Linked DNA regions of Drosophila melanogaster. The protein of the gene in region 2 interacts with the protein of the main gene of each other region in a pairwise test. Each region holds a gene or a part of one and is shown on either strand. Other genes may lie near its edges.

Region 1 (7,966 bases), on a different chromosome or scaffold from region 2:
AATTTAAGTCTCAACCAAGCACACCCACAAAACACTCATCGCAAAACACACGATCGCACACAAAAGCCAACACAAGATACATACACTCACCCATTTTAGCATAAATGTAAACTTTAGTTTCAGCTTTTGTTTGGCATTAACCTTCAACTAAAATCTATCTTAAGTACGCAAGATGCAAGAAATTGGTTTGATACGAAGGAAAGGAGCAATGCAACACATTTTTGTTTGTTTTTTCATTGAATAACACCATTACTTAAGCTAAAAACAAAAAAATAATTAAAAGGGAAAACTTACACACTTAGCTAAAAAGATATAAAGAGAAGTAAAAGAGAAAAAAAAAAACAGAAAAAAAAATGAAAAACCTTTGTAAAATGCAATAAAAAAGAGCAAAAGAAAGACTTGAAAAAATTAATTTAAAAACTAAAAAAAAAAATGGAATGTAAACACGAGAAAAATGTAAGGCGCGGTTAAAAACAAGCAAAAATAAGATCACGATAAGCAAAGCAAGCACACAAGAACACAAACCTCTTTAAAAAAACATTGAAAATGAAAGGAAAATCAATTGAGCACCAAGCCGCAAGGAGGAAAAGCGAGGAAAACACAAACACACATCGACGTCGACGTTTAGCGCCCCAGAAAGAAAGTCCGCCGCATTTTAGAGCCTGTAAACCTTTTGCTACTTAAATCTAATTTGCAGACTAGCTAGTCTATATAGGTATCGTATCGGTTCGAAACGGTTCGGTTCGCTTCGAATCGGTTTGGATCGGAAGAGTGTGGAGATGAGAGCGTGTGATGAGGGCAAATGCGGTGCCGGCGCCGCAGGTGGGTGCGTGTTCGATGCAATCGATGGTCAGGAATAAACGGACGGACGGACGGTCAGTGTTTTCGCTTTTCTTTTATTCGTTCTGTGTAATAAGTTCAAGGTCGTAAACCAAACTAAGTCAAGCAACTTAAACGATTTGGTGTTTCCAACGCAGTTGTGAACTAAAATTTAGTACATATTTTTTAAATAAAATCAAGAAAAGCCCAAAAAAAGAATGAAACGAAATGAGTAGAGAAGATGTGAAGCATATAAACACACAAGAACCTATTATAATAAATAGTTGGGGGACGAGACACAAGCTACTAACATTTTTCTCAAGGTAAAACAAGCAAAACATGTAACAACAAATATATACAAAATATATATAAACAAAACAAAAACTCATATAATTTAATGTTAACTTTTAGACTTACCAGAAATCTAAATATACATAAATATATATATATATATATTTATATAACTGCTGCTGCAAAATAAAAATAAGGCAGAAAAGCGATTAGGAAACTGAAAACATTAAATTCGTGTGAGCATCATTTGAGTTTTGTCGCAGGCGTCCAAATATATATAATTGCCCAAGTTATTCTTGTTTTGTTAAAGCTTAAGGACTTTTAATTCGTTGGGAACATATCATTTGTTTTTGTTGTTCGACGCCTGCCCTAGAGAATCAATTGCTAAATCAATTACAATCGCAATTTCCACAACTATTTCTATATAACACCACGCATTTCTAGCACTGTGAACAGGGTCTAAAGCAATTTTAGTGCATTTTTTGTAAAACGAAAGTGTTAGTGTTCAAACCTTAGCTCAACGATCAGTGCTGAAAGTGCTCCGTGGCCAGCAACAACATCATAGAAATAATAAACAAACAAAAAAAAAAATAAGAAACATGAAAACAGCATCAAACAATACAATACAAATCAGAGGTACTAACTAAATCGATGTAAGAGTAAACGAAAAACAAACAATTAGAGTTCATGCTCATTTCTAAGTAAACCGATGAAATCACAATACTGCAGTTTGTAAAGAGTACAGAGAAAAGGAGGGAAACACTTAATTATAATTTAATTTATATGTGTACAACTACAAAATAACTATAATAATAAAAACCAATCACAAAGATTCAGCGTGTTTACCAGAAAACTTATGATTTTGTTTCATTTCAAAAAAAAAAAAAAAAACACACACACACATTTGTTTTGGATCGGTTCGTATTTCCTTTTCTGGTAAATGCGTTTAAAAGAAACACCAAGTCGTAGATTTAGAAATCTGAAAGGAAAAACTCACAAGGATATGTAATTTTACTTATCAAGGCGACTTTACTTATCCAGCGACTGAATCCAATTCCCATTTGCCTTTGTGTTGAAACAACTGAAGAACTACTGAGCATTCAGCATTTAAATGAAATTGATGCGCACAAAGCCGAGCAATCGATAGCAATTTGCATAATTTTAATTAATAACAAGCCAGTCGAAGAAGCCAGCCCACAAAATTCCAGTCACAATTCATTGGTGCGTTTTATAGCGTTTCAGATATAAAACATTTGCGAAAAATCAATTCACTCATGCAATACATGCAATACTTTAAATGGAAACAAACATAAAAAAAAAACCAACAGAAATAGTATAAATAAAGAACAAGAGTTTACGATTTTAAGTCTCAAAAGGACCCGTATGCTTTATTATTTATTAAATATCTTGAACGGAATCGCCTGCAAATTATTGTAGTAATAGCATTAAACTGTGGCAGTAAATTGGGTTTAACTGCGTTCCATCGTCCGCCACTTAGATACCTGCAAGAATAAAAAGATACTTTAGATTCTTTTCTCTTTCTTAAATTAAATTTAAATTTAAATTAAATTTTAAGGAAAAAAATGAACCGTAGGGTGGTGTTGTAGCCTCTTTGCCGATCTTCGGAATCACTCCGTTGGTCGGAGATTTAGCTGGCTTGAAGACCTTATAGTCCTGGGTGGGCCACTTCTTAATAGCTCCAACTCCCACGGCGGCACCGCCAGTCAAACCCAATCCCAAGCCAGCTCCCGACATGCGATCCGCGTCGCCACGGGCGCCGAAATCCAGCTTGTTATTGAAAGTAGCTGCCTGGAGTTCTTTCAAATCGATTTTGGCACGATCGTTGGTCGATGTCTGGGCATGTTTGTGCCCGGCCTTCGGTCCCCATTCGGCCACTTTGCTGGAAGTCCACTCCTGGGCCGAGTAGATACCGGTCTTCGGATAGGAGGACCACATGTCCGGACCGTGTCCGTTGAGCGAGTGCTCTGCCAGCTGCTGTGACGGCAACGAAGCAGCCATGTTCTGTCCGGGTGTTGGCTTGGGTGCCATCGGAATTACATAGTGGGCCCAGCCGTTAGTGAATGCCGATGGCGGCAGGACGGATTGGGCCAGATAGGGATTGTAGTTGGGATTGTTGTAATTGTAGCTATCAGCAGTGGCCGGCTGGGGCGGAATGTAGCCGGCTCGAACCGAGCTAAATATGGGGAACCGAAAACGCCTGTCGGCCTTCTGGGTGGATCTCTTCACCTCCACCAATGTCTGAAGAATCCAGTGCTTGCGCGGTGCTGAAAATCAAAGCAAGCAGCGTTATCATCAGATTTTAATCTATATCATACTTAAAGGTAGTTGAAAAAAATGCACGATGACTTTCAATAAATGAGAAACATGGAAACTTACCCAATGCCTTCTCGGCACTGGATGGATCCACGAACTCGAGGAAGCCAAATGCCCGCTGACGTCCGGTCTCCCTGTCCATGAGCAATTTCACGCTGGCCACAGGGCCAAACTGCGAAAAGTATTCGCGTACGATATTCTCATCGTGGTATTCCTTCAAGCCGCCCAGAAAGATCCTTTTCGAGTTCATGAAACCGGCTTCACAGCCAAAACTTCCGACAACGGAACCAACGCCGCCACCCCTTTTGAAATCTTGACGTGGCAGTGCGTGCTTGGTCTCCACAATTCTAAATTAATTAATCAACTTTTTATAGAATTAGGGCAGCGAAAGATTATTAGAGAACTACTCACTTATTATCAATGGTGTGGGGACGTGCCCTTTGGACAATTTCCACGGACTTGGGATCCACATAGGTGACGAAGCCAAAGCCCCTAGAATGGTTGCTCACCGGATCCCGCAAGACCACCGCATCGGCCACGATACCGAACTGACTAAAGAATCCGCGCAGCGTTTCCACGGTCGTCTGAGTGGATAGGCCGCCAATGAAGATCTTGCGCAAATGCTCGTAGCCTTCTTCCTTAATGGCCGTCTTTCCGTCGCCTTTGCACTGCACACACACAACGACTTTCGTTGATAATTATGAATAGTTTGGGGGATTATGAGCTTACATCTCCAAGGCAGGCCGACGAGGCACAATTTCCCGCATCCATTTTCGAAGAGATGTCAAAATTAAAATAGCCTGATTTACTACAGCACTCAGGTGAAGCCAACCACAAATTGAATGACAGGCAAGAAAATCCAAACGTCTATAGTTATGGACTATCGAAAAAGGTCCAAAAATATTGTTGCCACATTTAGATGATTCAGCATTATTGGATGCAAATGGGCCAATAAATCGATAGGGTTTGAATCCTTAAAGCGTAACCCTATAAATCCCTATAATATCGCCTCTTTTGCTTCGTAGTCCTAGCAAAAAACCCTACTTATGCATTATTAGAAGAAAAACCCCATTGATCTCATAAGAATTTAGTTCGTAATACAATCCAGAAAGCTAGGTCCTTCGAAAACCGGCTATAATCCACTGAACATTTATGGTATTCATAGAACAAATTGTTCTTGGTAGTGAAAGTTCTTGTCACTTTTAGATGATTCAGCATTATTGGATACAAATAGGCCAATAAATCGATAGGGCCTAAACCCTTATACGTAACCCTATAAAATATCGCCCCCAGAAAATAAAATACAGCTCTTGTTCTTGCTAGTAAAAGTTGTACTTTATTGAAAAATTCAGAAACAAATGAGGTGTTAGTAGAATACCGACTAGTTACCTTCACTTACCTCCGCTGTACCCACCAAGTTAGCCAGAAGGGAGCCACCAACCAAAGTCCACCAGTGAGTTCTTCCTGGGCCACCGCTTGCTTTGCGGTCTAAAACCATTAACTAATACCTGGTGGAAACGAACCGGTGCGTGGAGCAGCCCAGATTTCGTATACGGACCCGGGAGGGAGCTTCCGTCCGTAGCCCGGCCAGTCTTGCAAAGAAATAGTCAGTGCATTAGTATGCGGCGGTTTGCCCGGGGGTTAGGTGGTGGGGGTCTCTAGTGACGGTAATTAGCCCTGCCCGCTACCCTGCCGATCTGGGATGGATCGGAAAACCCGGATTTTGCTGCAGTTGCTGCTCCTCTTTGCTAGGGCATTGCTCCTGTGATTATTTCGTTTCGTTTCATTTTGGGTGGGTAGGTAACATTGGTTAGGATTTTATTTTGCTTGTATCTCTTTGTCGCTTTCGTTTCACTCGTAACGAACTAATTACAGAATGTTTGTGATATTTGTTTAGCGTTTTTCTTTTTAGTCTGGCTTAACGTAGCATCTACTTCTTAGGGACTAACAGAGTTGGTATGCATATATGGATTTTGCTCGCTAGGACACCATTTCTCGGCCACTGTGCAGCCTGTACACAAATGTGCGTGGCATTCGCATTTCAGGAGTTGGGATCTTACTTGCCACAAATCATAAAGGTTCTTAGTTGTACAAAAAAAGTGATTACAAAATATGGTACTATTTGATTTCTTACATTTCGCTGGATCGCTAAAAACAATAAAATCATGAATAAATATAAAGAAAGTGCTCTACCTTATAACACCCTTACAACGACTGAATCTCAAGGAGAATCCGTCGCCGCTCAGTTGGTAGTCAATTTTGTACAATAAAATTATTGTTTAATTTATATTTTGTTGTGTTTGTTTCTTTTGTTTGTTTATGGTTAAAACTAAGCGTTCGGGGTTCTTAGGACCCTAAACATAAATCGATCAGCGAATTATTAATGGTTACAAAAGAGAGATAGCAGCATTCAAACTGTGGACAAGTGGCGTCGATTGGATTTCGTTTCGTTTCGCTTTTGGCTGTTTTGCTTGACGCATAATCATTTGCTTGGTGCTTTTGACAAGTGGATTATGGCTATAGCCTGCAGGTTGCGGCCGGACCCAAACCTGATTGATTGATTTATCGTTTGCATTTGCGCACGGCCTGGTTCTTGGTTCTGCATCTTGATTTCTTGGTTCTGATCTTGTCTGCCTGGTCTGACACACACATGCTACTGATTGCCTGCCTGTGAATGTGCTTGTCCCTCTGCATCTGCCTGCCTAGACTGCCTGTTTGTCGTCTAGCTTGAACTGACACACTCTCTCTCTCTATGTGTGTTTACCTAGTTGCGAAAGAGGAGAAAATTTTGCATTAGCTTCGAATCGTTCCGAAATGAGTTTGATTGCATGGCTAGGCTACCAACTAGCTGCCAATAACGACCAAAGATCCGAGCGTTTGAGATTGTACGATGGGATAGGACCTGTCGTCCAGGTTATCTATATTTACCTTGTCTAGTAACGTCTATTGCCGCCTCCCATATTTCCACCCTGGCCACCACCTCCGGTGTTGTAGTTGTTGCCAGCAAAGCCTTGACCTCCACCCTGGTTACCTGTAAAAAATAAATGCATGGTTTAAGTACATTATGTACATTATGGTCAAATCACTTAATAACCCAACATACCCTTGTTGAATCCTCCACCACCACCTCCTTGACTGTAAGGAGCTGGACGGTTGTTGCCAAAGTTGCTGTTGCGCTGTGGACCGCCGCCGTAGCTCTGCTGGTATTCATTTCCGAAGCCACCGCCACCACCACCTCCACCACCGTTACCGCCCCAGCTGCCATTGCTGTTTCCGCCGCCGTAGCCGCCGCCACCACCACCGTTCCAGCCGCCGTTGCCGCCACCCTGGTTATTCCATGGACCACCTCCGCTTCCGCCTTGCTGATTCCAACCGCCAGAGCCGCCGCCCTGACCGCCTCCAAAGTTACCGCCGCTGTTGCCGAATCCTCCGCCGCCGCCAGCTCCGCCCCAGTTGCCCCCACCGTTCTGTCTGTTCTGGCCTCCCCAGCCACCGCCTCCCTGGCCGCGGTCACCCTGACCACCGCGACCGCCAGCTCGAGGACCTCCGCGTCCGCCACCTCCGCCCTGTCGATCCATATCCTGCTTGGCAATAGCCTTCTTCACGTCCAGGGTCTTGTTCTTGATGGAGTGGGTCTTCTGAAGGATGATTTTGTCAACGGGATCGTAGTCATCGAACTCAATGAAGGCGAAGCCGCGCTTCTTGCCGGTGTCCTTGTCGGAAACAATGTTCACGCTCACGATCTGGCCAAAGTCCTTGAAGTACTCGCGCAGGCACTCTTCATCGTGATCGTCTCGAAGCCCGCCCACAAAGAGCTTCTTTACCGTGGCTCCCGCATTCGGGGAATCGATCTCCTGGCGTGGCACAGCCCTCTTGGGCTCCACGGTGCGTCCATCGATCTTGTGTGGCCTGGCATTCTGCGCATTGTCGATCATGTACGACTGGGAGTACGTGATGAAACCGAAGCCGCGAGAGCGCTTCGTCTTGGGATCCTTCATCACCACCACGTCGACAATGTTGCCCCACTTCTCGAAGTGAGCCTTCAGGCCATCATCTGTGGTGCGGTAGTCCAGTCCGCCGATGAACAGTTTGCGCAGCTGCTCTGGCTCGGTGATCTGCGGGTGAATTTCAAATGCATTAGCTAAAGACGTTCTATAATTTAAATAATTTCTAAAAACAAAAAAAAAACCCATTGATTCGAAAATAAGTTGTAATATTAAATTAAATTAATTGATTTCTTTGGACAAACTTTGCGAAAAATGTATAAATTTATATAATAAAAAAAAAAATCATACTGTATCTAAATGAATAAATGTATAAAAAATATTTAAATGTATAATAAGTTGCTGTAAATTTAATAAAAAAATAAGTTGCTGTCAATAAGTCAATAAGTTTATGTCAATAAAACGATAAAAGTGCAAAATCATCCTTGATCAACAAGGATTTGCCATTGTTTATAATAGTAATTTACCTGGCGAGAAAAAGCCGCTCGCCATATTTTTTTTTTTTTTTTTTAGTATTT
Region 2 (6,937 bases):
TTCTATGACTTCGGAGCGCTAACTGTCCGTTTTCCTACTGGTCTCCAGTTTATATATTTTATTTTTTTTTTAGTGCTTCGACACTCAGTGCGATAAGAAAATCCTCTTTGCCTTTTATCAGCACATTGATCGATCAACGTTTTTGGCACAACTTAGTGATTCAATTCTTTCAGGGCTGGCTCATTGCATTATACAGTTCACTGGGGTCGCTGATTCATGGGTGCTCGCCAACTTGGGGTTGCCTTGGGATTGGGATAAGATCGTGAGTCATCTTGGGTAACTGGGCACTTGAAAAGTGTTAAGGTAGATCAGAATCATAGGCTTATTTAAATAAGCTATTGAGATCGATGCACTCGATTCCACAAGTAAACTGATAAGATACAAGGGTAAATACGTAGTAGTAGCTGGCATTATATGTTCGATTTTTACTAAATGGTGCGCAAATAAAATAGTTTTTTATCATCTATAGTACCACTAATCCAAGTTGATACTTTTTCTGTTTATTGACAATATATAAACAAGATAAATGAAAACTTAGTGTTTTGGCCACAAAATCCAATAGCCATTTCCCAATATCAGCAGATTCTTCAAAGTTAAAATTTTAGAGATAATACAAACAAACTTAAGTTTGATCAAAAAATCATTCAGTAAATCCACAGCTTAAAGAATGTTATAATACTATTTTTCAAATGTAAAACAAAGGAAAATACTGTTTCGATTTCTCAAAAGTTTTATTATATTTTGAAGAGCATATTTTTCCATTTATTGGGTGGACACAGCAGCGACTGGTACAAATGTAGTAGTGGTGGTGATGTTGTTGTTGGTAGCAACTGGAACTGCAACCTGAGTGGGAACAACCACAACATTTCGGGACATCATCCTGCGGCACTGGCGACAAGGACGGCCCCAAGCCAGGGGATTTGCATAGTACAGGACTCCTCGAGGATGGTTGCACTCGGCGCACTTGAGGTTGATATTGATGTCGGACATGGCTCTGTCTTGTCTTGGCTCTAAGTTGTCTCTGCTCGACTGCACTTCAATTTGGCTTTTAACTTTAACTTATAACCTTTTTATACAGCCAGTTTGAATGCGATAAGAAAAATTGAGGACTCGCTTATCACAACAGTGATGGATCAAACTCGTAATTCTGCTGCAGCAGTTGTGATTCAATCTCTCAATCCCTCGATTTTCTGTGACTCATATGTTCTAGGGATGTTGAACTTTTCATTCTAGAGTGACTCATCATAGACCTCTTCTTAAGTGGTTTTTTAGGATACATTTTTACTTGCTATTCTCGATAGTTTAAGAATCCAAAAATAATTATCTTGACTCTTCTCTTCATGAGTAATTAATTCTTTTTTAGATATCAATTCCCGAACTCTTATCATGAAAAATATTTTTCATTTGTATACATATACATTTTAAGCCATAGTTGGATATGCAATTCTTATTTAAATACGGCAAGAATGGTATAACTTTTCATATAAAATCATAATTCAAATTTTACTTTGAGTCCAGCAAGATCTTTTATATTTATTACGCCATTTAAATTGAGAAAACTATTGCCCAGTTTTCGTTATAATAAAGCTTAAAATATGTTTATGTACTGACAGCACTAGTTGTACAATAATTGATAAGCTGGCTACGACCAGAGGACATCAATCATTTCCCACCAGTCAGATAGCAAAACCGAAGCCAAATAATATATACAAAAACCACAAAAAATCCACGAAAGCAATTACCCGTACGGAAAATAGAGAGTGGAAAAGGAATCATGACCATGACCATTGTTTATGTCGTTCGCCTGCAGTTCAATTTTCATATTTGTACCATTAACATTGCAAATAAATGCAGGCATATATATTCGCAATATGAAAATGTGTCACAGCAAGAACCGACATTGAAAACCAATCAAGTATATTTCAATTAAGGTAAAGTGCATTTAAGTTATTTAAGCAAATATTTCGAGCGGATTTACAATTGCATTGGCAATAAGATTGAGGCAAATTAAAATGTCAGCTTACATGAAGAAATATGTGCGTAATATATAGTATACTATAGTATATAGTAGTATAAACACGAAATTCAAACATGAAGGAGTGAACTGTTTATTTATTTTTTATTTTTATTATACAAGAGCTTAGGTTTTGTAAAAAGTTAGTTTATAGTTTCTATTTGCAGAAATACATGAAGTTTAATAAATATTTTTAAAGTTTTTTACTTCGTTGTTGAACGACGGTCATATGGAGACCACGCCTACCACCTGGGCGGTGGGGGCTGCTGAACGATGATGACCTCTTCCCTGGGAGGTGGACGCCGACCGCCGATGTTGAACTCGATGAAGGGAGCTCTTGGTGGCACCACATCCACCTCGATAATGGGTCGTGGTGGTGGCGGCTGGTAGACGGCAGCTGGTGTGATGACCTCCACCCTGGGCGGTGGTGGTGGATACCGGCCGCCCACTCCGATCTCAATCACTGGTCGAGGAATCCTTGGCGGCACAATGTCCACCTCTACAATTGGCCTTCCACCGTGATGGTGATGATGGTGATGACGACGTTCCTCCTCGTAGTACGGCATTTTCTTCAGAAACTATCCAAGTATTGTATCCTTAGTGGGTGAAGTGAATGCCTTTGACTGCTTTCTCGAACTGAACTTGCTTCTTCGCCTGCTTAACTATTTAAGTCAATTTTTATCGCTAATGAGGGGGAATTTTTTTTCCTAATTTTGTTATGTGCGTTTTGCACAGTAGCTTAGTTGGTTATCTTGTCAGGTGGAATAAATGTGTTTTTTTCGATAAAAAAAAAATAAAATTGATAAGTGCCATTTGATAAATACGAAATTCCGAATTGAATTTCATGAGGAGAGTTCAAGGTTTCCATGAATCACAATTTTATATTTAAGAGGAAGGACTTAATTCCATGCTTCTGATTGATGACTCACACTAAATTACATAAACATAAATAAAATCGATAATGCAGTATTTAGAATATTTTTAGAATTAAAGACGGGTAGGTTTTTTGAAGAGCAAGATATTTTATTTATTTCGTTTTAAGGTTATATAGCACAATTATATTTTCTTTGAAACGGTTAAAGTTAAATTCCAGTTTTGTTTTTTTGTACCTTCCTCTGGTTATTAACTTGTTAACTTTGTGGTGCGTAATGTCAAGACCATTGCACCATTTGCGTTGTCATTTCAACTTAAGATTAGGACAAAGTGATATTTGTTTTGATTTCTTGTTATCTATCCCTTCCTTCACTCCATCGATAGTATATTTTTTTTTTGTTAGTGGTGATGGCTTCGTTTCCATTCCGACCTCGTTCACCACTGCGGATACGGTGGATTGTTGTAGGGCTGCTGATACTGGTACTGATACTCGTACGCCTGCTGCTGCTGCTGCGGATAGTATCCATTGGTGGTGGCCACCGTGACGCCGCCGTAGGGTTGCGGCATTATCACCTGTGTGCCGGGCACATAGGTAGCCGCCGGGGTCATGTAGACTACCTCGGCGGGCCGAGGCGGAGGCGGCGGCGGATAGTAGCCGCCACCCCAACCGGGAACCACATCAATTTCGATATTTGGACGACCATGGTGATGGCGAGGAGGATAGCCACATGGATCTTCATAGTACCGCATAGTTGATTAACTAGCCAAATAATCAACCAGCCAACCGAACCAACTTCACCACCCAGCAACGCGTTGAATACTGGAAAGTCCGTGGCACAACACGTCTAGCTCGAAACAAACTGGAACTGCGAAGCTCCATCAATCAGGGTTTGTGGGAATTATTCCAGTGGTTAGAGGCAAAGATAAGATGGCTTAGTCATTCGACAAGGTCTGATAACAGCGACCGGACAGTTGTGCATTTACAGGTGATCGGGTTTCGCTATTTTACTCGCATTTTGTTTACTATATTAACTGATTCCGGCTTATCTATGGGTAACGCGTTATTATTTCTGATATAGGAGCATAGAAGCATTGACAGAGCATTGGTGAAAATGAATTAAAGTTTTGCTAGACATTAACAAAACAACAAGTGATTGCCGTCTAAATTAACCAGGTGTTCCGATAAAGACTTAAAAAAAAAAAACACGGATTAGAGATTTTGATAATAAAAAGAGGGAGTGTGTGTGATGGAATCAACTCGATTGAAACTCAACCATTACTCATGACAAATATGCAAAAAAACTAAAAACTATAAACTAAAACTTAGTTTATAAGGTTATACTTTATTGAGGACATATAGTTGTTAAGTAAGGCTACGTGGTATAAATTCATTGTGAAGGATTTTACAGATCAAAGTTCCTTCTCAATACTGTGGATTGTGGTAGTGGCTGCTGCCGGGCGGTGGTGGTGGTGGTGGATTTTGGTAGTACGGTGGCGGAGGCGCCTGTTGCACCACCATGACTGGTGGCGGTGGCGGAGCCTGCTGCTGCACCACCACAACTTGGGGTGGTGGGCGGTGATGGCGGCGTGGCCATGGTGGTGCAATCTGTACCTTAATCACGGGTCCACGACGATGAGGCGGTCCGCCGCAATGATCGTGGGGTGGTGGTGGCATAGTGGTGCACTAATCTTCTGTAGAAAGTCCGTCCAAATGTGTCGACTTATCGCTGGTAACTGAATTAAGCGAATGCCCAACTCATGGGACTGACTAACCAAACAAACGCCAAAATATTTGCCGTCATAAAAAAGCTCAATATCAGCATTTGCTGATAGCGAATAGGTAGGTAGGTACTCTTAATTATTTCTATTGACGAAAGTATTGCTTCTAGAGCAAAGTTATCGATAAATAAACTGAAAATTGGCAAATGGTAAAGCTTTTTTCGAATAAGCTTTTCAATTCAAATTTGAGCCTGCATATCAATAGATTTTCCTCGTTTCTTTAATGAGTCATGTTTGGTTTTTTCCGGGGATTTCTCCTTAACTTACATATAGTCATGTAAATACTTGTTTAAAGTTTTAAAAAGAAATAAAGTATTTCGTTGTCACGAAGAAAGGAAATGAACCAACGTGCAAATATTTGTATTTGGTTAAATGCGATTAAATTCCTTAACTCTAGTGAAAACAAACTTTAGCTTGAGAAAATGTTGTCAAGCCACAAATATTTATCCAATTTTCAGCCCCGAAAAATTCCCAATAATTCTTTACACATTTTCCTTAGCCGGCAAATATTTGGCAAACATTTGCACGTCTATTATGCAAAGTTTGCAGACACGATTTTGCCTCGAGGGGCGACGTGGGTAAATATTAAATGTATGGATAGAAAAACATGGTAATTTCTGACGGTCAATCAAGAAAAGTCTCTCGGGACTCTCTGAATCTCAATCACTTGATCAAATAAAATTCGGAATATTCGATTTGACAACCAGGAGAGCGGCAGCCTTTTTGGCTGTACTTAATTGAGTGGTTCGTGCTGCATTTCGCATTTCATTCGCTCTTTGAATTGTCACTTCGATCAAGGAACTGGGGTTAAGGGTTACGGCTTAAGGGTTAAGGGTGCTTGCCCTAAAAAGTTAAACATGCACAAAGTGGCAAACGAGTTTCGGGCAAAGTTTTCAACTGACGCAAAAGAAGGAAGGAAATGAGTGCCGCATAACGCGCAACATATCGACTGAGCTTTTGTGGGCGCGCTGCGTTGGTGGGGCGTGGCAGGCCGCATGACAGTCACTCACTTTAGTTATTATAGCCATTAAAAGGAAATCCCAACTGGCTGTAATGAAATCACTGTCCATAGCAAAAACGATAGTTTAAACGTAGCCAATTCACTTTGGGGATAAAAAATAATGTAAATTTTCAAGACCTCTGAAGAAAAAGAAAATTTCTCAAGCGAATTTACTCGAAAAAGTGTATTAAGTGCGTCATCTTTGAAGCCTCCGCTTTTTCCACATGTATTTTTTAACTCCTTGTGCATATTTTAGGAAATGAATTGAGTCCTGGCAAGATAAAATGTCTCTGTCCCCGAGTGAAGAATCAAAATCAGAAAATTGGGGCTTGGAATCGGGAGTTGAATCTGGATCTGAATCTGCAGCTGAAACTGAGGCAGCGCCCTCGAATCGATAACTGTCAAAAAATAAGCCGGCAAGCAACATGCAAGACAGGCGCATAAGGGGGCGTGGCAAAAGGGGTGTTGCAAATGGATGGGGATGTGGTTGGGGGGATGGTGGTTCTGGTGGTTTTAAGCGGTGGCGGCGGCGTCGCACAATTTAAATATTTATGGCGCTCCGCTTGGTGCACAAGAAACGGAACCAGGCACACGGCATAGCCAAAAAACCGTAACCGTAAGCCTAACCAAGAAACCAGGAAAAGCAGCTATCCGAAATTTCGCAACCCGTTTACTGAGAGAAATCAAATGAAAGTATTTGCAAAATTCAGCTTCGCACAAAAGTCCAAATTATTGTAATTATTATTTTTAAAGGGATTTAAAATTTTGAAAAAAAAAATATCGGTTTTATACAGAATAACAACATGTACGTTGAAATGTGTATAAAGGATTTATGAAAAAATTGATTGTATGCATTTTTCTTCAGTGCATACCACCTTTACGAGGCTTCTTTAGCAGCGGCGTCAGAAAACGCATTTCCTGCTCATGTCATGACATGCAAGTGTGGCTGGGAAATCGCGTAACGCAGCAAGAGTTGGCAAGAAAATCGGGAAAGTTGGAAAATCGGTTGGTGCAGAAATGGGTTACCCAAAAGGAATCATTGCTTTTGTCGACATGTCATGGCAATACTCGTATCTGAAAAGTGTTTTCGGGGTTGGGCTGAGATGTTTTTCGAACATTTTCAAGAACATTTTATTGAGCTACCGTTTTCAGGCACTCGCTGCAAGTTGATGATTGATAGAGTTGTAAAACTGAAGACGGAAAGGCAAAATGCTGCCAGAGGTGAGGGATGACTTGACAGTTTTGCTAAACTCTTGAAATCTTGCAGCGTA
Region 3 (8,579 bases), on a different chromosome or scaffold from region 2:
ATTGTGGTCAGCCTGCAATGTTTCGTTTCTTTTCGTTTTTGTTTGTTTCTCGATGGAATGTAGTAACTGACTGTTAATTGTGGCCAATGTCAGCTTTGCGTATACTTAATATTTTATGTTTGATGTTTTTAGGCGTATTTGTTAGGGGAGTTCATTTCCAATGACAAAGAAGTGTGTGTACATATTTGTTTTGTAGATGATTTAAAGCTAAATAAAAAATAATCCGTTCGAAATCATTAACTTGTCTTCTAATTGGAGAGGAATATTAATCTAGAATCAGCTTCGCGCAATTCACAATTTTTTAAGGTATTCATAATTGGTTTGCGTTTCCTTAAACGCTCTGAAAACTGGATATAACATCATAAGCGACAACAGCGGTGTTTCACTGTTTTAAGATTTCGGGCTTTGGTCGTTTGATTGGATCTTTTACACATGTTTGCCCTTAAGCTTTAATTAAGTTTTTGTGGACAATTAATTTCCAATTTGCGTAATGATGAAAGCTCGTCATGTTACATAAGTAAAGAAGATATCTATTTAATTGCATGGATCAGTCTTACCGACTATAGTCTTACCTACTATAAACGTAGGCATTGGCTTTATTCATGTTAATTTAAACAATTGCGAAGAGAAAGTTACACTCATCAATAACACTGACGATAAACGAGAATTCTTTTTGAAAAAATGTTTCATTGAGAATAGGAATTAAATTGGAAGATATATTGACCATTGTTGATAATCGCCTGCATGATTCCACGATTTAAAAAATAAATTGGATTTACTGGCCGATTTTTGAATTAATACAATTCGTAAATACTAGATTCGTTCTAAAGTATGCAACAGGCAGAAGGAAGCGTTTCCGACCAGAAAAATGATGAAATTTCGCAAATGATGAAATTCGCATTAACACTAACCGAGTAAGGGGTATCTGATAGTCGGGGAACTATATAGCATTCTATAGTCATTCGACTATAGCATTCTCTCTTGTTTTTATTTGGTCTCTTCGTGAGATCGACATTTTTTTACACTTAAAAAAATGTAGCTGTTAGGATGATTTTGGTTTGATGTTTGATACCATATTGAGGATTTGGCGATGTTGTATGTTAATTATTTCTTGAAGTGTTCTCTTTTATATATTTAAGGTTTTCAATAGTTGAATTAATAAATACCTTCATGAAAAATGTGGAAATAATATAAGACTCCGACTTTGGGTGCAACTTGGCAAGGCGTAGCGCAATGTATTGCATATATCGCATTTGGTTAGCTCGCGACGTGCCTGCCTAATCTGGTTTAAAAAACAAACGTTGCACGCAATCGAATTCGCATTCACAGTCTCACAACCCGATCCCCCCGGGGACACAGCCCCCATGATCTACGGTCTCCGCTCCCCAATCTGCGGACAATTAAGGCGGCAAGGTCGTCGCCGTTTGCCGCCGCTGGAATTAACATTTGAAATGACTTCATACGAAAATAATTGCACGAACGGAAAGAGATCAAGCGGCGTGTCTGCGGAAAGTGGCTGCTGGCTGCAAAGTGACTTACGCACTTGCCACGAACACTCGAAAACGAGTGCAACGCACGCGGCTAATAGCGGATGGCCAACAGGCCAACTGGTTAACTGGATAACAGGCCAATTTATGGCCGAGCTTATGAAATTCAAAAAAGGGGCCACAAAACACCAGACATACATATCGCGGCGGCAATCAAAATGAATCGAAACGAAACCAAACACTTGCCCGATCGCGAGGAAATGAAGTGGTGGGCCGGGCATATCATTAGATGGAACTGTCGATTTTCCAAGGTTGGAGGTTTCAAAGAAATAGTGCAAAAATTTTGAACTGCTATTTAGCTTTATGAAAAGTACAACAATATATTGTATATCATATTATAGTAATAACTCTAATAACGATAACTCTATAATAATTTCAGAGCACGAACTCATAATATCTTTTTGTTTTTGCTAAATAAAAAGTTAGGATGTCCCAGTTCAATAATCAGTAGTTGACATACATATAAGACGCTCTACACATTTTCTGCCTGTGCACTGTGCGTCTGGTTCCCCCTTTCACTTTCAATTAGCCAGTGGGCAGCGCGGCTTTTTTGGTCTCTTTGCAATTTTTTCGTTTCGTTTCGCATTTATTATTATTTATAATATGCGCATTTCAAGGAAAAACTTTCGCTGCATGCAACATTTGGTGTGTGGTGTGCGCTGCATTTCCTGCAATTATCGCATAAGTACGCGTGCTGAGGGCGGAGAATGGAGTGGAGTGGTGAGTGTAACCGTCCCGACTATGATTATGAAACTAAGAGTACAACTCCATATGAGTGTCCATAAATGTATCAAGCCATTATGCAGCGTGTAACGTATTTGCAAATGCGAGTTTCAAGACCCTTTATCGAAACCTACCGCTGCTCAATCGGGTTCGAAGATACGATACGATCACTGGCATTACAGTCGATTGATAATGCAATTATTGAAATTCTCATCAATCAGCTAGTGGAAATGCGAATGCAAAATTTCATAATTTTTCTGGGATATATCGGCAGATATGCGTTGGAATAGTGAGGAGCGTGCCTTTGCCGTTGAGGTCTACTTTTCAAGTGGATGTTCGGTTATTAAAACACAGCGTGCATTTCGGAATAGCTTTAATTTAGCCCCGTTGGCTAACGTCCCAGACCGCAAATCAATTGTCACATGGGTCACTACATTCAGGCAAAGTGCAAGTGCGACGAGACGCAGAACTGGAGTCCCTCGACCCGTTAGATCACCTGAGAACATTGGGATCGCCACGGCGTTCTGTGAGAAGAATTGTTCATGATGATCTTCAATTTTATCCGTATAAGATGGCGATAGTGCAGGAACTTTCAGAACGTGACTTCAATTCTCGGATGAACGATTCTTCTTGATGTCATTCCCGAGGATGCTATTGTTTATATTTTAGTGATGAAGCCGATCTGTACCCTTGTGATTTTTTTCTATGGGGTTTCTTGAAATCCCGTGTTTATGTGAACCGTCCAAGAACCCTACAAGATTTAAAAACCAACATCCAAGAAGAAATTGACAACTTAACACCTGCTATGCTAACAAACAAGAGTCACGACAAAACGCCAGAAATCGGTTTACGCAATATATGGAGAATGGGGAATGTCACCTATCAGATTTCATTTAAAAAAAAATAAATAAATAAAAACTTTAGACATGTACCTACATTATAAAAATAAACAAATATCTTTCGATGCCTACAAAAGTTTTCATTGAGTTCGTAAAAAAGGTAATTATGCTGCCGCATCCTGTAGTTCCTGCGATTTCGACGTTCATACGGAAAGACGGACAAAGCCAAATCGACTCGGCTATTGATCCTGATCAAGAATATATATAATTTATATGGTCGGAAACGCTTCATTCTACCTGTTACATACCTGTTACGTACCTGTTACATACTTTTCAACAAATCTACAATAGTATACCGTCTTACTCTACGAGTAACAGGTATAATTTTTGGAAAGAAATTACGTTATTGCCCCCATAAAAAAATTTATATTTTATATAAAAAAAAAAAATAAAAAAAATTATTTTTAAAATTTATATTTCCGACTCATCATTGATTTGAAATAAAATAAAAACAATACAGACTAACTTTTGATTGAGACTCAAGTACAAATTCAGTTCCCATCGAATTTGGGCTGCAATCCACGACAAATTTTTTAAAACGAGTGCAGTTTCCTTGATAAAGTCTTGTCAACTGCCTTCGCTCTTTTATACATATTAATTTTATTTTTATTATTTTTTTTTTGCTTGCTGGTCAGCCCGAATGAAACAATTGCTAAGAGGATTTATTCCGCGGAATATAAAGTATTTATGAGGCGTTTTTGCTGGATTGCTGGGTACAGGGGCAACAATTTGACAACCTTAGGACGGAAGCTTGTTAGGTCTTTCTTTTAATGACTTTGCCTCGAGACTTCGAAGCACTTAATGTACGCTGGTCAGCTATTCGTTTTAGAGCCATTAGAATGCGAAAACATCTCGAAAATGTAGAAAAGGTTGCGCTTAGCAGATATGTATTCAAAGGCAACATTTAAATTCCTAGAATTACTGTAGAACTGCAGAACTGAAAGCTTACGTAAGCCTTGCTTATCACCCTTACGTAAGTTACGCAATTTGTCAAAATAACTTTGACGAAGATTAGCATTTCAAACAACTGTTGTTATTGTTAACACAAATTAGACATCTTCCACTTAAACCATCTGTAGATTTCAGAGAACATGTTTATCTGAATAAGTTACTCTGGGCAATTAGTTGATTTTGTGTGATTTCTCAAGTGCTCTAGAGACTCTTTCTGTGCCAAGTTGTCTGCGTATGTTTTTAAAACGGTTTTCTGTTTTTCAAGCATTCGTCAGTCTTTTATTTTTAGTTTATCTGTGCAAACTTACTCTAATTAAAGCGGCGTCCCTGGCCTTTGTGTGTAATATTTATTTATTATTGTCTATTTATCAGCTATTTTCTCCTGCTGCGCCTTTGCGATGTGTTGTGCGCTATTATTGTTGCTTTATCTCAGGTTGAATGAAATCAGCCCGCTAATTTTGCTGTTGTTTTCGCCGGCAGCGTGCTGCGTGCAATTAAAATTCAACAAATTCCATTTCACTTCAACACACAACTGCAAAAAAAATACATGCGGCGATAAAATATCGAAGTAGGCAATAAAGCGATCGGTTAATTGGCGATTCACACACGGTACCGTTACTCGAAGACAGACGAAAGCAGAAGGAGAGCGCAAGACAGCGAGCATGCGCTTGCGAGTTTCTCGGCGGCGCGTTCGTTTCTAACTGAAACCAAGTTGATCGCTTCGCGCGCTTTCAACCGCCGCATTTCTCAGTCGACGTCGCTGGCCGAAAAGCTGGCAAAGCGGAGCCTTTAACTTTTGGTATGCCACCATACTGTTGTTGCAGTCGATGTCGGTGATGGAGGCCCCAAAAGAAGTAGCTACACTTGTTGTACATATGTATGTATGTACATATGTGTGTATGTATATTTGTACGTACCGTATGCACCTTCCACCGAAGACCTCCGCGTAACATTAGAGTTGAATTTCTTGCATAGCCCGATTTGGCTGGAAAACTCAAAAAATACCACCGGGGCATCACTGTTCGGACAGTTTTACAACCTGTTAGCGTAAATCTGCGCTTAAAGAAGTGCCGACAATCAACAACAAACGGTAATGAGTGTGCGCAGGCGCAGCAACAACAACGAACTTTCGAATATTGAACTTTCTGCCAGCATATTCAACCTGGTGACCGCCGTTAAATTATAATCAATTTCAATTTCAATCTGCTCTTCACCTGCAGCTGCAGACAAAAGGAACAATTTGCTGACGTCACGCCGGAATGCTGCGACAGGCGAACAAAATTGAGAGTGATTTCAGGGCGAAAAATCAGGTGGAAAATCGGGGAAGAAAATGATTAAAGAAATAACGAGAACGTGGGGAAAATACATAGTTAGCCCGCCAAGAAATCTACATACGTATATAGTTCTGTTTATTTCATCATTGTGAATATAGTACATATGTATGTACGTATTTCATTACATCTAAGACATTGAGATGTGATAAAGAAAAATTGAGTATAAAATAAAGAATATTGAGTATAACATAAGTATAGTTAACTTATTTATTTTTACCAATTATATTATGCACCTTTATAAATTTTATATACCAATCTCAGTTGAATAAAAAGTAGTTTCCCATTACTCTCCATTATTCATTAGCAAGTTTTTTCAATGCTGTTGCCTTGGGTTGGATTGAAAAAATGCGTTTTGTTCATTGCCGAGAAAGACGTGACTGGAGAATCTTTTTTCGGCTCGGGCTTTTCATGGATATTTTAGCCTATTGCTGTTATATAACTGCATTCGTGTTTCTGGGATGGCAAAGAAAAAATGGCAGAGAGTACGTTTTGTAAACTGGAAAGGCGTGTAACCGATGCAATGCGAATGCTTAACGGCGGCAGCAGCCCACAAGAAAGGCAGCAGATCCATAAACAAAAGGCTACAAAAAATATATTCCGAAATTATAGGCCATATAAAATAACCCGAAAAAAGAAGCGGCTACCATTTGAGTTTGGACTTAAACATTTTGATTACTTTTTGGCGCGCAACGCAAGCACCGCGTCTGCTCTTAAGTAAAGTGCTTTAAAAAGAGCTTTCAATCCGCGTTATATGAAAGCGAAAACAGCAAAAACATGTCACATCATTGAAATAGCGAAAGAAGATGCCCAGGAGCTGATTTGTAGTGACCCAGAATAGTAGCAACATCGAGAGAAGTTCCTCGACTACCAGATACCCGTTGATCAGCTTGGAGGACTACGAGATGGAGTGCAAAATAGATAAACGATCAAAACATTCTCACAAGTGTGGGCGTTGGAGTGGGCGTGGCAAAAAGTTTTTGGCAAATCGATAGGAATTTACAAGACATAACAATATGAAAAAATAGCACAACAATTTTCAAAGTAGGTAGCTTGTGGGCGTTAGAATGGGCGTGGTTTGTTGGCGCTGCGTCTATGTTCCTAGAATCTGTATGCCTAATCTTAACCTCTTTAAGCTTTTATAGTTGCTAAGATCTCGACTTACATACGAACGGACAGACGAAAAGGGCCAGATCGACTCGGCCATTGATCCTGATCAAGAATATATATACATATAGAACAATATATATTCAACGAATCTAGCATACCATTTTACTCTACAAGTATACGGGTATAACATTTACTTTACGCAAGTGGTAAAATAAAAACACATGAGACAACAGAAACTCAAGCCCGAAAAATGGAGAGATACTTAGTCAATTGCACAAAAACTCCTGGCCGGCAATTTCGTGACTGGTTTTCCACTTGTTTGTAGTCTTTTCTCCGCTTTTTCTTCATTTTGACTTTTGTTACTTCTGGCACTTGCTTTATGTAAGTTGCAACCTGCAGCTGCTTGCTGCAGTTGCAGCCGCTGCTGCGACACGATTGTGTCTTTAGTCTTCCGTTTTCTTTTCCATTTGGCGGCGTGCTCATAAATCGCTGATCACATTGCGAAATGAACTCCATGATAAGCAGAAAAGATATCCATGAATACGATATCGCATATCGGCTGATTAAGAAGGAGCTTATAGTATATGTACATATTGTACATTTTTTGTCTGTCCAAATATGTCGATGAACTAACCGGCTGGCACGGCACGGCTGAGAATAGAGTTGTGCAAGAATGCAGTTGATATGTAAAAGGAAATTTATGAATATTTGTAGACAAAATAATAATTCTTGGAAATTGGGCTGCACCAGATTTCTACCATTTCAACTAAAATATTATATTCGGTCTCATAAGAATATTAGTTTAAACAACACAAACTAGCAGTCACTAACAAATCGCAAATGTGTGTTAAATGTACACCATATGCACGCACACACGTATCCGATGAATTCCCCTTAGCCATTAACCAGACATTCAATAAGTCTAGGGCGACTAAAAAACGAGTTCACTACTTTGATTGCCGATCGGGCCAAGCCCAAAAATGAAAACACGCAGCAAGTGTGGTACACAAACTGGCACAGCGCAATCACACACACACACACACAGGTGACAAAATCACACGGATACGAAAGTTCAGAGATATGAAAATTACACAGATACAGCAACAGTCAATGATCTTTGGGAGCTGTTCGGATTTTTTATTTGGGGGCTCCGGCGAAAGACCAGACCAAACGAAACTCGCACATTTTGCCGGCTGCTTTCACTCTCCATTGGGTTTTGGAATTCTTTCAAAATGATGTTTAAGGGGCAAGCGAAGAGAGAGAGAGTTGAATAATTTCGAAAACGTCGCCTGTTGACGACTTTTTTCCTCTCGTTCACATCTCAGTATCTTTCACTTGGCAGGCGGGGCGTATGCGCGATTTGAAATATCCATTTTTTAGCCGCTTCCTCCGCCCTGCCCTTCGACCAACAAATGCTATGGTGCGTAATTAGCTTCAGGTGGGATCAAACAATGCAAAGCTCCGGCTCATTGGACACATGATTAATGAGACCCCTTCGAAAGACAAATCAAACAAGTGGTCAAGAGGATGGTTGAAGCTCCCTAAACACTGAATTTTGAGTTGATCAAAGTGTCTTTCAATCTGCTGTACCAACTCTTCGCATTTCAAAGCGAGAAAGACAGACAGACAGGAGAAAAAGCATTTCTTATTGGGTCCGAGGTGAAGTGAAAAAGAAAGTGAACAACATGTCTAACACCGGTTGACTCTTTCCCCGCCGATCTGAGATCTTGTCGATTCTGCCAGCAGCCGAGAAGTGAGCCACCAAACGAGCTTAAACATTTTCTATTATGCAAATATTTGGGGGGCTGCCCGCCGCTCGTTTCCATAAGGTAAATGGAGTCAAAAAAATCGAAAAAAAAATTCAAAATTAACACACCAAGCAACATAGTTGCGGAATGTTAGTGGGCTACGCCGATTTTGACATTTGTTTGGCAAATGCATTCGTTAGATAAGTAACTAACTAACTATTTTGTATTTTTCACTAATACTACATATGTACATATGTATATCTATGAGGC
Region 4 (8,699 bases), 4.2 Mb from region 2:
TATGGTCCTGCCTAACTTTCTCGGGGGAGTAAGCTCCGGGGGCAGGAGTCTCATTGGGCTTGTGGAGATCATGACGGCCGGCAAAGGAAAATGCGGGAACATGATCTTGCCTAACCTTTTCAGGGTGATAATCTCCTGGTGCCGGTGTATTGTTCTCCACCTTGGGATCATTCTTGCCCCCAAATGTAAAAGCTGGAGTGTGATCTAAGCGAACCTTTTCGGGACAGTAGTCACCAGGAGCTGGGGTGCCATTGGTAATCTTCTCAATGTATTTACCAGCCATTGAGAATGCGGGATTGTGATCTTGCCTCACCTTCTCCGGTGAGTATGCTCCTGGAGCAGGAGTGTCGCTGGGCTTATGAAGATCGTGACGACCGGCGAAGGAGAAGGCGGGATTGTGATCTTGTCTAACTTTCTCGGGATGATAGTCACCTGGAGCTGGGGTATCGTTTTCTACTTTAGGATTGTTTTTACCAGCAAAGGTAAAGGATGGTGTGTAATCTAGACGGACCTTTTCGGGACTGTAGTCGCCAGGGGCAGGAGTATCATTGGAAACCTTAGGGTCATGCTTTCCGGCCATTGTGAAGGCAGGATTATGATCCTGTCTGACTTTTTCAGGAGAATAGGCTCCAGGTGCTGGAGTGTCGCTAGGTTTTTGAAGATTATGACGGCCAGCGAAAGAGAATGCTGGGTTATGATCTTGCCTAACTTTCTCGGGATGATAATCACCTGGAGCTGGGGTGTTGCTCTCAACTTTGGGATCGTTCTTTCCCCCAAAAGTATAGGCAGGTGTGTGATCTAGACGCACCTTTTCCGGACTGTAATCGCCCGGAGCTGGAGTGTCGTTGGCTACCTTTTGGGTGTACTTACCCGCCATTGAGAAGGCAGGATTATGATCCTGACGGACCTTTTCCGGACAATAGGCACCAGGGGCGGGAGTATCATTCGGTTTGTGAAGATCATGACGACCAGCAAAGGAGAAAGCTGGATTATGATCTTGCCTGACCTTTTCGGGATGATAATCCCCAGGAGCGGGAGTATTGTTCTCTACTTTCGGATCGTTTTTGCCACCGAAAGTGTAGGCTGGAGTATGATTTAAGCGTACTTTCTCCGGGCTGTAGTCTCCGGGAGCGGGAGTACCATTAGTTAGCTTTTCAACTGGCTTGCCTGCCATTGAAAATGCTGGGTTATGATCTTGACGTACCTTCTCGGGAGAGTAGGCTCCTGGAGCAGGAGTATCACTTGGCTTTTGAAGGTCGTGACGACCGGCAAAGGAGTACGCTGGATTGTGGTCCAACCTCACCTTCTCCGGATGGTAATCTCCTGGTGCCGGAGTGTTATTCTCTACTTTAGGATCATTCTTTCCCCCAAAACTGTAAGCAGGTGTGTGGTCTAATCTGCACTTTTCGGGACTATAGTCTCCTGGTGCCGGAGTGCCATTTAAAATCTTCTGATCGTGCTTGCCAGCCATCGTGAAAGCTGGATTGTGATCTAATCTCACTTTCTCCGGCGAGTAAGCACCTGGAGCGGGAGTCTCGCTTGGCTTGTGGAGATCATGGCGGCCAGCAAAGGAGTACGCTGGATTAGTATCTTGCCTAACTTTCTCGGGGCTATAATCACCAGGAGCAGGTGTATCGTTGGTAACCTTGGCATCATACTTGCCGGCCATTGAGAAAGCTGGATTGTGGTCCAGTCTCACTTTCTCCGGGAAGTAGGCTCCAGGAGCGGGAGTGTTGTCTGGTTTCTGAAGGTCGTGACGACCGGCAAACGAATATGCGGGATTGTGATCCTGCCTAACTTTTTCGGGATGATAATCACCCGGGGCCGGAGTGTTATTCTCTACTTTAGGATCACTCTTAACGCCAAAACTGTAGGCGGGAGTGTGATCCAAGCGGACCTTCTCGGGACAATAGTCCCCAGGAGCCGGGCTATCGCTGGTCACCTTTTGACTGTGTTTCCCGGCCATCGAGAAGGCAGGATTGTGATCTTGTCGCACCTTCTCCGGGGAGTAGGCGCCCGGAGCGGGTGTTTCACTGGGTTTGTGCAGATCGTGGCGCCCGGCAAAGGAGAAGGCCGGATTGTGATCTTGCCGGACTTTCTCGGTGTCGTAGGCTCCCGGTGCTGGTGTGTCGCTTGGCTTGTGCAGATCGTGGCGACCGGCGAATGAGAAAGCGGGATTGTGATCGTGCCGCACTTTTTCGGGACAGTAGTCGCCCGGTGCCGGAGTGGAGCTCTCGAGTCGCTGCTCGTGCTTACCGCCGAAGGTGAAGGCCGGCGTTCGATCGTTGCGATACTTTTCCGGGGCATACGAACCGGGCGCCGGAGTCTCGCTCACGGACCTCGTCTCTGGGCGTCCGGACAGGGTGAATGCGGGCGTGTGGTCCAGCCGCACCTTCTCCGGATTGTAGGTGCCCGGCGCTGGCGTGTCACTCGACTTGGCCAGCTCGGCACGGTGGCCAAAGCTGAAGGCAGGCGTCCTGCTCAGGACGCACTTCTCGGGTTCGTATGCTCCGGGTGCTGCAAGAGATTGGGTGAAGATAAGGTGTAAAAAGAGTTGGGTTTTGGTGTGCGGGTCGCACGCTAAGACTAAGATCCATTGAAATGCGATTCTAGAACTCACCAGGTGTGCAATCGACCACGTCCTGCGAAGCCTTTCCGGCGATTGAGTAAGCGGGTGCGGAGTGCAACCTTGACTTTTCGGGGCTGTAGGCACCGGGTGCTGGTCATAAGGACATAAAAGTGTGCGCTATAAGCCAAGTTACTACAGCCCAGCTGAGCGGGAAGCCTTACCTGGAGTATCGCTGACCTGGATGTGTTTGGTCTTCAAGCCAAAGCTGTAGGCGGGAATGTGTTCGAGGACAACCTGCTCGGGCTTGTAGGTGCCTGGCGCTAATGAAAGTGTCGTCGTGGTGAAAGCATCAAGCAGCTATATTAACGTGGCTCAAACCTACAAGGCATACTGTTTACAAACCTGGAGTGTAATCTGGTCGCTGTTCATGGTGCTTGATGCCGAAACTGAACTCTGGCGTCTTGTTGAGCTTCACCTTCTCTGGACAATATGCGCCAGGAGCTGCGGATGGGATGGGATATCAGTATTAAGTTGGCCAAAAGTCACGGGAATAGAAAAGGAAAGCGCTATAGATACTGTCCAATTGGGTACGCTTGAGCAAGTGGTGCCTCGATTGGGGTAGATACGGATACAATTACAGATGCAGATACAGTTACTTGGGGGGGAGGCTGGGATTTATTACCTGGTGTGCCCTGATCGTGTTCGATTTTAGTTCGTCTACCGAAAGTGTAGCGTGGCGCATTCTTTTTTGATTGCGTGACCTTTTCAGGGCAATAGCTATTCGGAGCTGTTAGTGTTAATAAAACATTCGATTTTTAGTCTACTCGAATCAAAACTAAAGGTCTACACTAGGTGAGCTACGACTAAGTGTGGGTGAATTACAAATAGATAGATATGTATATACGGATAGAAAGATACATTATTTCGGGAATTAGTGATGAGTTGGGGATTAATTGATCGGGTTAGAAGTTAGAGAGCGGAGCTAGACCAACACCAACACTAAAACGCAACGTGGACGAAGTTTGGACAGTTAGTTGGGTTACCTGGATTGTTAACCAAATACACGTTAACCTTAATGCGAAAGGAGTAGCGTGGGGCTCGCCGCTTGACGACATCAAGTGGCACCACTTGATAATAGTTGGGACCTGAGTCTCGATTTTGCCACGGCAATCATTCATTGAAAGAGAAAAACGTTTCAAATTAAAATCAAATCAGGCAACATAACAAAAAAAAAGAGGTCACACAAATTACTGAACCACTAAAGTAACACATATACAAAGAACACTGTGTAGCTAGGAAATAATAAATGAGAATTAGAGAATATGTATAATCTTAAATAGAAATATTTATGAGAAATTAAGACATCTGATCTCCGTTTCCGTTTGACTCATAAATAAAAATAACTGAGCCAAGTTGTAGACAATCTTTCACAAAATAGATGACCGTATAAAGACATTGCCAATTCCTCCTACGTAAATTTGTAGCTTTTTTTTAGGGAAACAAAGAAAGTTTAGAGAACGAGATATGAACAAATCGAATAAATAATAATAATGCCCAACATTATAATTAAATACTTTTTAATTAATGTACCAAAAATAATAGAATAGAATAAGCCAAATCATTCACGCACATTACGAGGTGACATAACTACGATTCAATCTCAAGGATACCCAAAGATACAGCAGAATAATCTACGAAATGTGGCTACGACTACACTAGCTACTGAGATAGAGATAGAAAGTGGGAGAAAGTGGAAGAAAGGGGCGGTAGCAACTTACGCGCTGCTTGCAGTAAGGATGCAACTGGCATGGATTCGGATTAGTTAATGAGTACGCTTCTATGTACAATGATGATCCATGATTGAAATTGATTGATGATCTCCTCAGTCCGCGCATGCAACCAAAAAAAAAAAAAAAAACAGCACCAGCCCGCAACAAACACCGAATTCAACGCCAAATTCAAAGTCAATTTTCAGATCCAACTCCAAAATCCAACATCAGGTCCAAAAACACCATTCAAACACCAGTGGAAGAAGACCGAGACTCACCTGGTATCTGGAAGGTTTTCAACGCGACCGGCCGTTGGCCAAAAGTGTATTTGGGCGTGGCATCGATCACCGCCTTGGCCGCCGGCACCACATCGTATTCCCCAGGTCCGGGATTCGAGAAGCGTGTTAGTTCCTTGGGTCTGCTCTGCAGAGTGGCTGCTCGAGGATAATCCCGACCCTTGGCTCGCATACCCGTAACATTGTACTGCGCCGGACCCGGTCCGGAGGTGTCATACTTTCCGCCCAACTTGTGGCCAAAGGAGTACGAGGGTGCGGCCTTCTTCTTGGAGTCGGGAACTTTGCTGCCTAAATGTGGGATTTTCAATAAGTTATATTTGCAGGAACATTAAACCAATCTTAAGCTTACCTATCAAGGTTGGAAGTTGGACAGTGGCTGGACCCGGATTGGTGGTCTCGGCGGCGATCTTGCCGATCCTAACAGTTGGAGTCCAAGGACGCTGCTCCACGTTGCCGCCCATGTTAATTGGACGAATCTTACGCACGCGGGCGCAGGGTCCCTGATCCTTGTTCTTGTTTTTGAACTCGACCTAAAAAGGGGAAAACAAACAACAATATTAAGAAATCCATTAGTTATTTAGATCTTCAAGAAACCACCTTGTTCATCTTGCTGTTTTTAGGCTTAGTAGTATCGAAGTCTGAAAATTGTGCCCCAATGTAAAAAAAAAAAGTTAAAGACCAAATTTACTGAACTCCCTTCGCTGACATTTACACGTGTGAGTGGGTGATAGGCTGACTACTGAAATCTATACTTCGACCCCCAAACTTGGGTAACCTAATAATCCAAATTTCGTCCTACTCCAACAGCCAAGTCGATGACACAAAAATCAATCGTCTGGCATTTGTTTCGAACTTTCTGGGCCAATTCCGATGGGGCGGCTAATAACCAGGCGTGTAGCTCCACATATTCATACCATCCATGGGCGAATGGATTCAGTGGATGGGGGCGTGTCGTGTGGCGGCTGTCACTCTTTTTCTTCTCCTTCTTCTGCAGTGGCTGTTGCTCGGCATTTGTTGCAGGTTCCTTCTGTTCGAGCCGCGAATTTGTTGCGCCGCACGAAATACAAACAATGGCAATAACTTTGCGGTAGGCTCGTAATTCTTGGGCGTCAGTGGCAGGCACAAAAGTTGCAGGGGTTTGCAGTGCAACCAAAATAAAGTTAAGAAACTTAAATTACAGTCTTATTATGTCTTTGCCTTTCAGTTGTATTTGATTTTGAATAGAGAGCAATAATTTATATATGTAATCGAAGTTTGTAAAGGTGCCTAAATATATCTAGCATATATTGAGCTTCACCCTTTAAATTGAATTTCCCTATAAAAAGGGAACAATAAAATACGAAGAGAAAACCAAATGAATTTTAATGCAGTTACCACGGTAGACAATTTTATTATACATATGATTACCACTAAGTCGTAACAAAAGAAGTGCACAATAAAAGTGTTTCCAGCTAGTTAGGAGCTAGACAAAATGAATATTTTAATGAGAGGCCCCCCTCAACAACATTCGTATTCCCCAAAACCTGCTGCTGCCCTGGGTGACGACCTTCTTTTCACAGCTCAGCACACGGGACACCAAGTGTTGCCCATCGACAGGCGGGCAGACATCGGAAAACAGACCGGTACCAGCTGGTATCAGGAGTTCCAACCACGCTCCACCTTACCAACTTTCCACCTTTCCACCTTTTTAGCGCCAGGAACCAGGCATTTGGGCATGTAATCGATATGGGGCTGGATTTGGATACGGATACGAATTCGACGGGCGCCGAGATTTGGGGTCTGGTCAACAAGGTTGTGTCCCGAATCGAAGCGAAACGAAACGAAACGAAGGGGAGTATGCTAAGTGCTAATGCTGCCCATTTTGTGGGGCATGTAAGCCAACAAAACGATTACTTTTAATGACTTATGGCCGACAATTGCATGAACCAAAACAAAAACAAACCCAGGACCCAAAAGAAATGCGAAGCGTGCCACTTCTTTTGGCCGTGAAAATTCGCCAGCCTGTGTAAATAATTACAAACAATGTTAGGGGGCGTGGCCTGGCTGTTAACAGGGCCAATAAAGCCGTCGTTCTGCTGCCAAGAAAGGCTTCACTTTTCCCGCCAGCCGCACTTGTTACTTGCTACATATGACTCCTGACCTCGCATGCAATTCACATATACATATGTATGTATTTATGTACAAAAAACAATGTTCTCTTCGCAAGGCAGGCAGTCATCAGGCGGTCTTATAAGGCGACTCTTACATCACCATCATGAGGTTGGAAAGCCCACACACCGTACCGCCTGTTCAATTGCTGTTCGAGGCCAAGATCAGCGAAGAAAACTGAAAATCTAACGATGAATCAGAGCCGGCAGCTGAGCCAACAAACTCAGACATCTGTCAGACAAAGAGTCTTGGCCACCCACCCACATTGCTCGCATTGAAGGAAATCTGTCTTAATATGCACATATGGCATCGAAAAGAGATCAATTAAAAATCTAAAAATATATTAAGCTTAATTGTGAAAGAAAATTGTGATTGAATAATAGTCATCTTATACATAAAAGCATAACTGTCAAGATTTTGGAAGCATATAGTAGAACAGAAAATTTCAAAACATAAGATATTGCATTTGATTGTCACGCTTTTTTCTATAAACCATTAAAAAAGGGGTTCAAAATACAAAATCATGTATGCCTTATATATGACTTTAATTTATCAGCCAAGTTATTGCCACCACCAAATAGTGTGTGCTATTTTTCCGAGTGCAACTTCAATTGAATAATGTTTGGTTCGCCCGTTCAGGAGGTCGCATTTAATCACGTTAATAGAGCGTTGGCTCATGCAATCAATTTGCATGTGGCGATCAGATTTCAGTAATCAAATTATAGATGGTGATGCTCGATAATCTATGCACGGGGGTCAGTGTATAAACCGGCTAAACTATATAGTTTATTAAAATCGCCCCCACACACTCGACTTTCGATCTCTCTTTCTCGCTATAAATATTTGCTTGCATTTTGTGAATAACAAAAACTGGCATTCATTATTAGTTACAGAGAGTTTCAGCAAATATTTTAGCATTATCTCTGTGACCTTCGGTGATTTGTTTATGATGATGTGTTTCTGTTTGATTTAAATTGATATTCTCACAGTTGACCCGATGACTCTGCACCCGTGACGAAAACAACGCGTCAGCTTTAATTTGTGATTTTCACTCTAAAAATATAAATAAAAGCTGTAGGTAGCCTCAGCCATAAAACTGAAATACCCTGTAAGTGAAGTTGTGTTTACTAATCTGTTTTGATTGAATATAATAGCATAGGTTCGAAATAAGTGAAAGAATGCCTAATATAGATTCCTTAACATGGAAATAATGTTTCAAATTGTATAAATATTTCAACAGTTTTTAATCACATAATCATTTTTAATCATCGATGGACCATGTATCGATATACCCCCCTTATTTACTAATTGTGAGGTATCTGTATCTCTGACATGATCAACAATCATCTCAACTCAGTGAAAACGTTTTTATGTTCTTTCGACTTCATTTCACGCTCTCCAAAACTGCGAATTAAATATGAGCTCATTCCCAAAATTTAGACAATTTCCAGGCGGCCAACTTGGGGGCTTTTACGCCCAAATACGGCGGCCGACGTTTCCTTTAGCCCACATTGAGTTGTCCGAAAAAGCCAGTTCGGAATTGGGTTTCCAGACGGCAGATCGACCCACGCAGAAACTCCATGACTCCGCGATATATAGACATACAGCCAAATAGCCATAATTCGTGTGCTGTCTCTATTAACTATTGCCTCTTTTTTTTTGTAAAAGTTTAATTAACGCCGAACAAGTTGAGCAATTCCTTTCCAAAAACAGAAAACGACAACAAGTGAGTGAGCCAGCCGGCAAAAGGCCAAAAAGGCCGAAAAGAGCTGGTAAATGAAAACATGAGAGCCAAGAAGCAAAACTGAACTCTCGTGATTGTGATAAAAACGCCAAGACCGACTGACGTCAGCTGTGTGAACTAGTTTGCGATCGTCCAAATCTAATTAAGTTTCTCAACATTCTCGGTGCTCTGCA

The links.
Region 1: the proteins of CG15422 (region 2) and Rbp4 interact in a two-hybrid assay, tested with the Drosophila melanogaster proteins (one large-scale study listed by BioGRID).
Region 3: the proteins of CG15422 (region 2) and CG17600 interact in a two-hybrid assay, tested with the Drosophila melanogaster proteins (one large-scale study listed by BioGRID).
Region 4: the proteins of CG15422 (region 2) and CG8086 interact in a two-hybrid assay, tested with the Drosophila melanogaster proteins (one large-scale study listed by BioGRID).

Annotation. Positions count from the first base shown.
Region 1 is NT_033777.3:13,652,090-13,660,055, forward strand, and holds Rbp4 (RNA-binding protein 4), read right to left. Parts: upstream 4,306-7,966; 5' UTR 4,216-4,305; coding exon 4,174-4,215; intron 4,113-4,173; coding exon 3,856-4,112; intron 3,792-3,855; coding exon 3,508-3,791; intron 3,396-3,507; coding exon 2,700-3,395; intron 2,613-2,699; coding exon 2,605-2,612; 3' UTR 2,467-2,604; downstream 1-2,466. Other genes in the region: Hrb87F (heterogeneous nuclear ribonucleoprotein at 87F), read right to left, coding at 6,378-6,475, 6,548-7,559.
Region 2 is NT_033779.5:4,001,756-4,008,692, reverse strand, and holds CG15422 (uncharacterized protein), read right to left. Parts: upstream 3,710-6,937; 5' UTR 3,638-3,709; coding exon 3,323-3,637; 3' UTR 3,023-3,322; downstream 1-3,022. Other genes in the region: CG43773 (uncharacterized protein), read right to left, coding at 763-990; CG15423 (uncharacterized protein), read right to left, coding at 2,257-2,580; CG34176 (uncharacterized protein), read right to left, coding at 4,311-4,562.
Region 3 is NC_004354.4:22,511,443-22,520,021, reverse strand, and holds the start of CG17600 (uncharacterized protein), read right to left. Parts: upstream 4,826-8,579; 5' UTR 4,734-4,825; exon of another isoform or gene 4,653-4,733; 5' UTR 4,429-4,652; intron 1-4,428.
Region 4 is NT_033779.5:8,247,612-8,256,310, forward strand, and holds the start of CG8086 (uncharacterized protein), read right to left. Parts: upstream 5,356-8,699; 5' UTR 5,241-5,355; coding exon 5,232-5,240; intron 5,165-5,231; coding exon 4,984-5,164; intron 4,923-4,983; coding exon 4,617-4,922; intron 3,715-4,616; coding exon 3,613-3,714; intron 3,357-3,612; coding exon 3,252-3,356; intron 3,071-3,251; coding exon 2,972-3,070; intron 2,890-2,971; coding exon 2,791-2,889; intron 2,720-2,790; coding exon 2,621-2,719; intron 2,518-2,620; coding exon 1-2,517.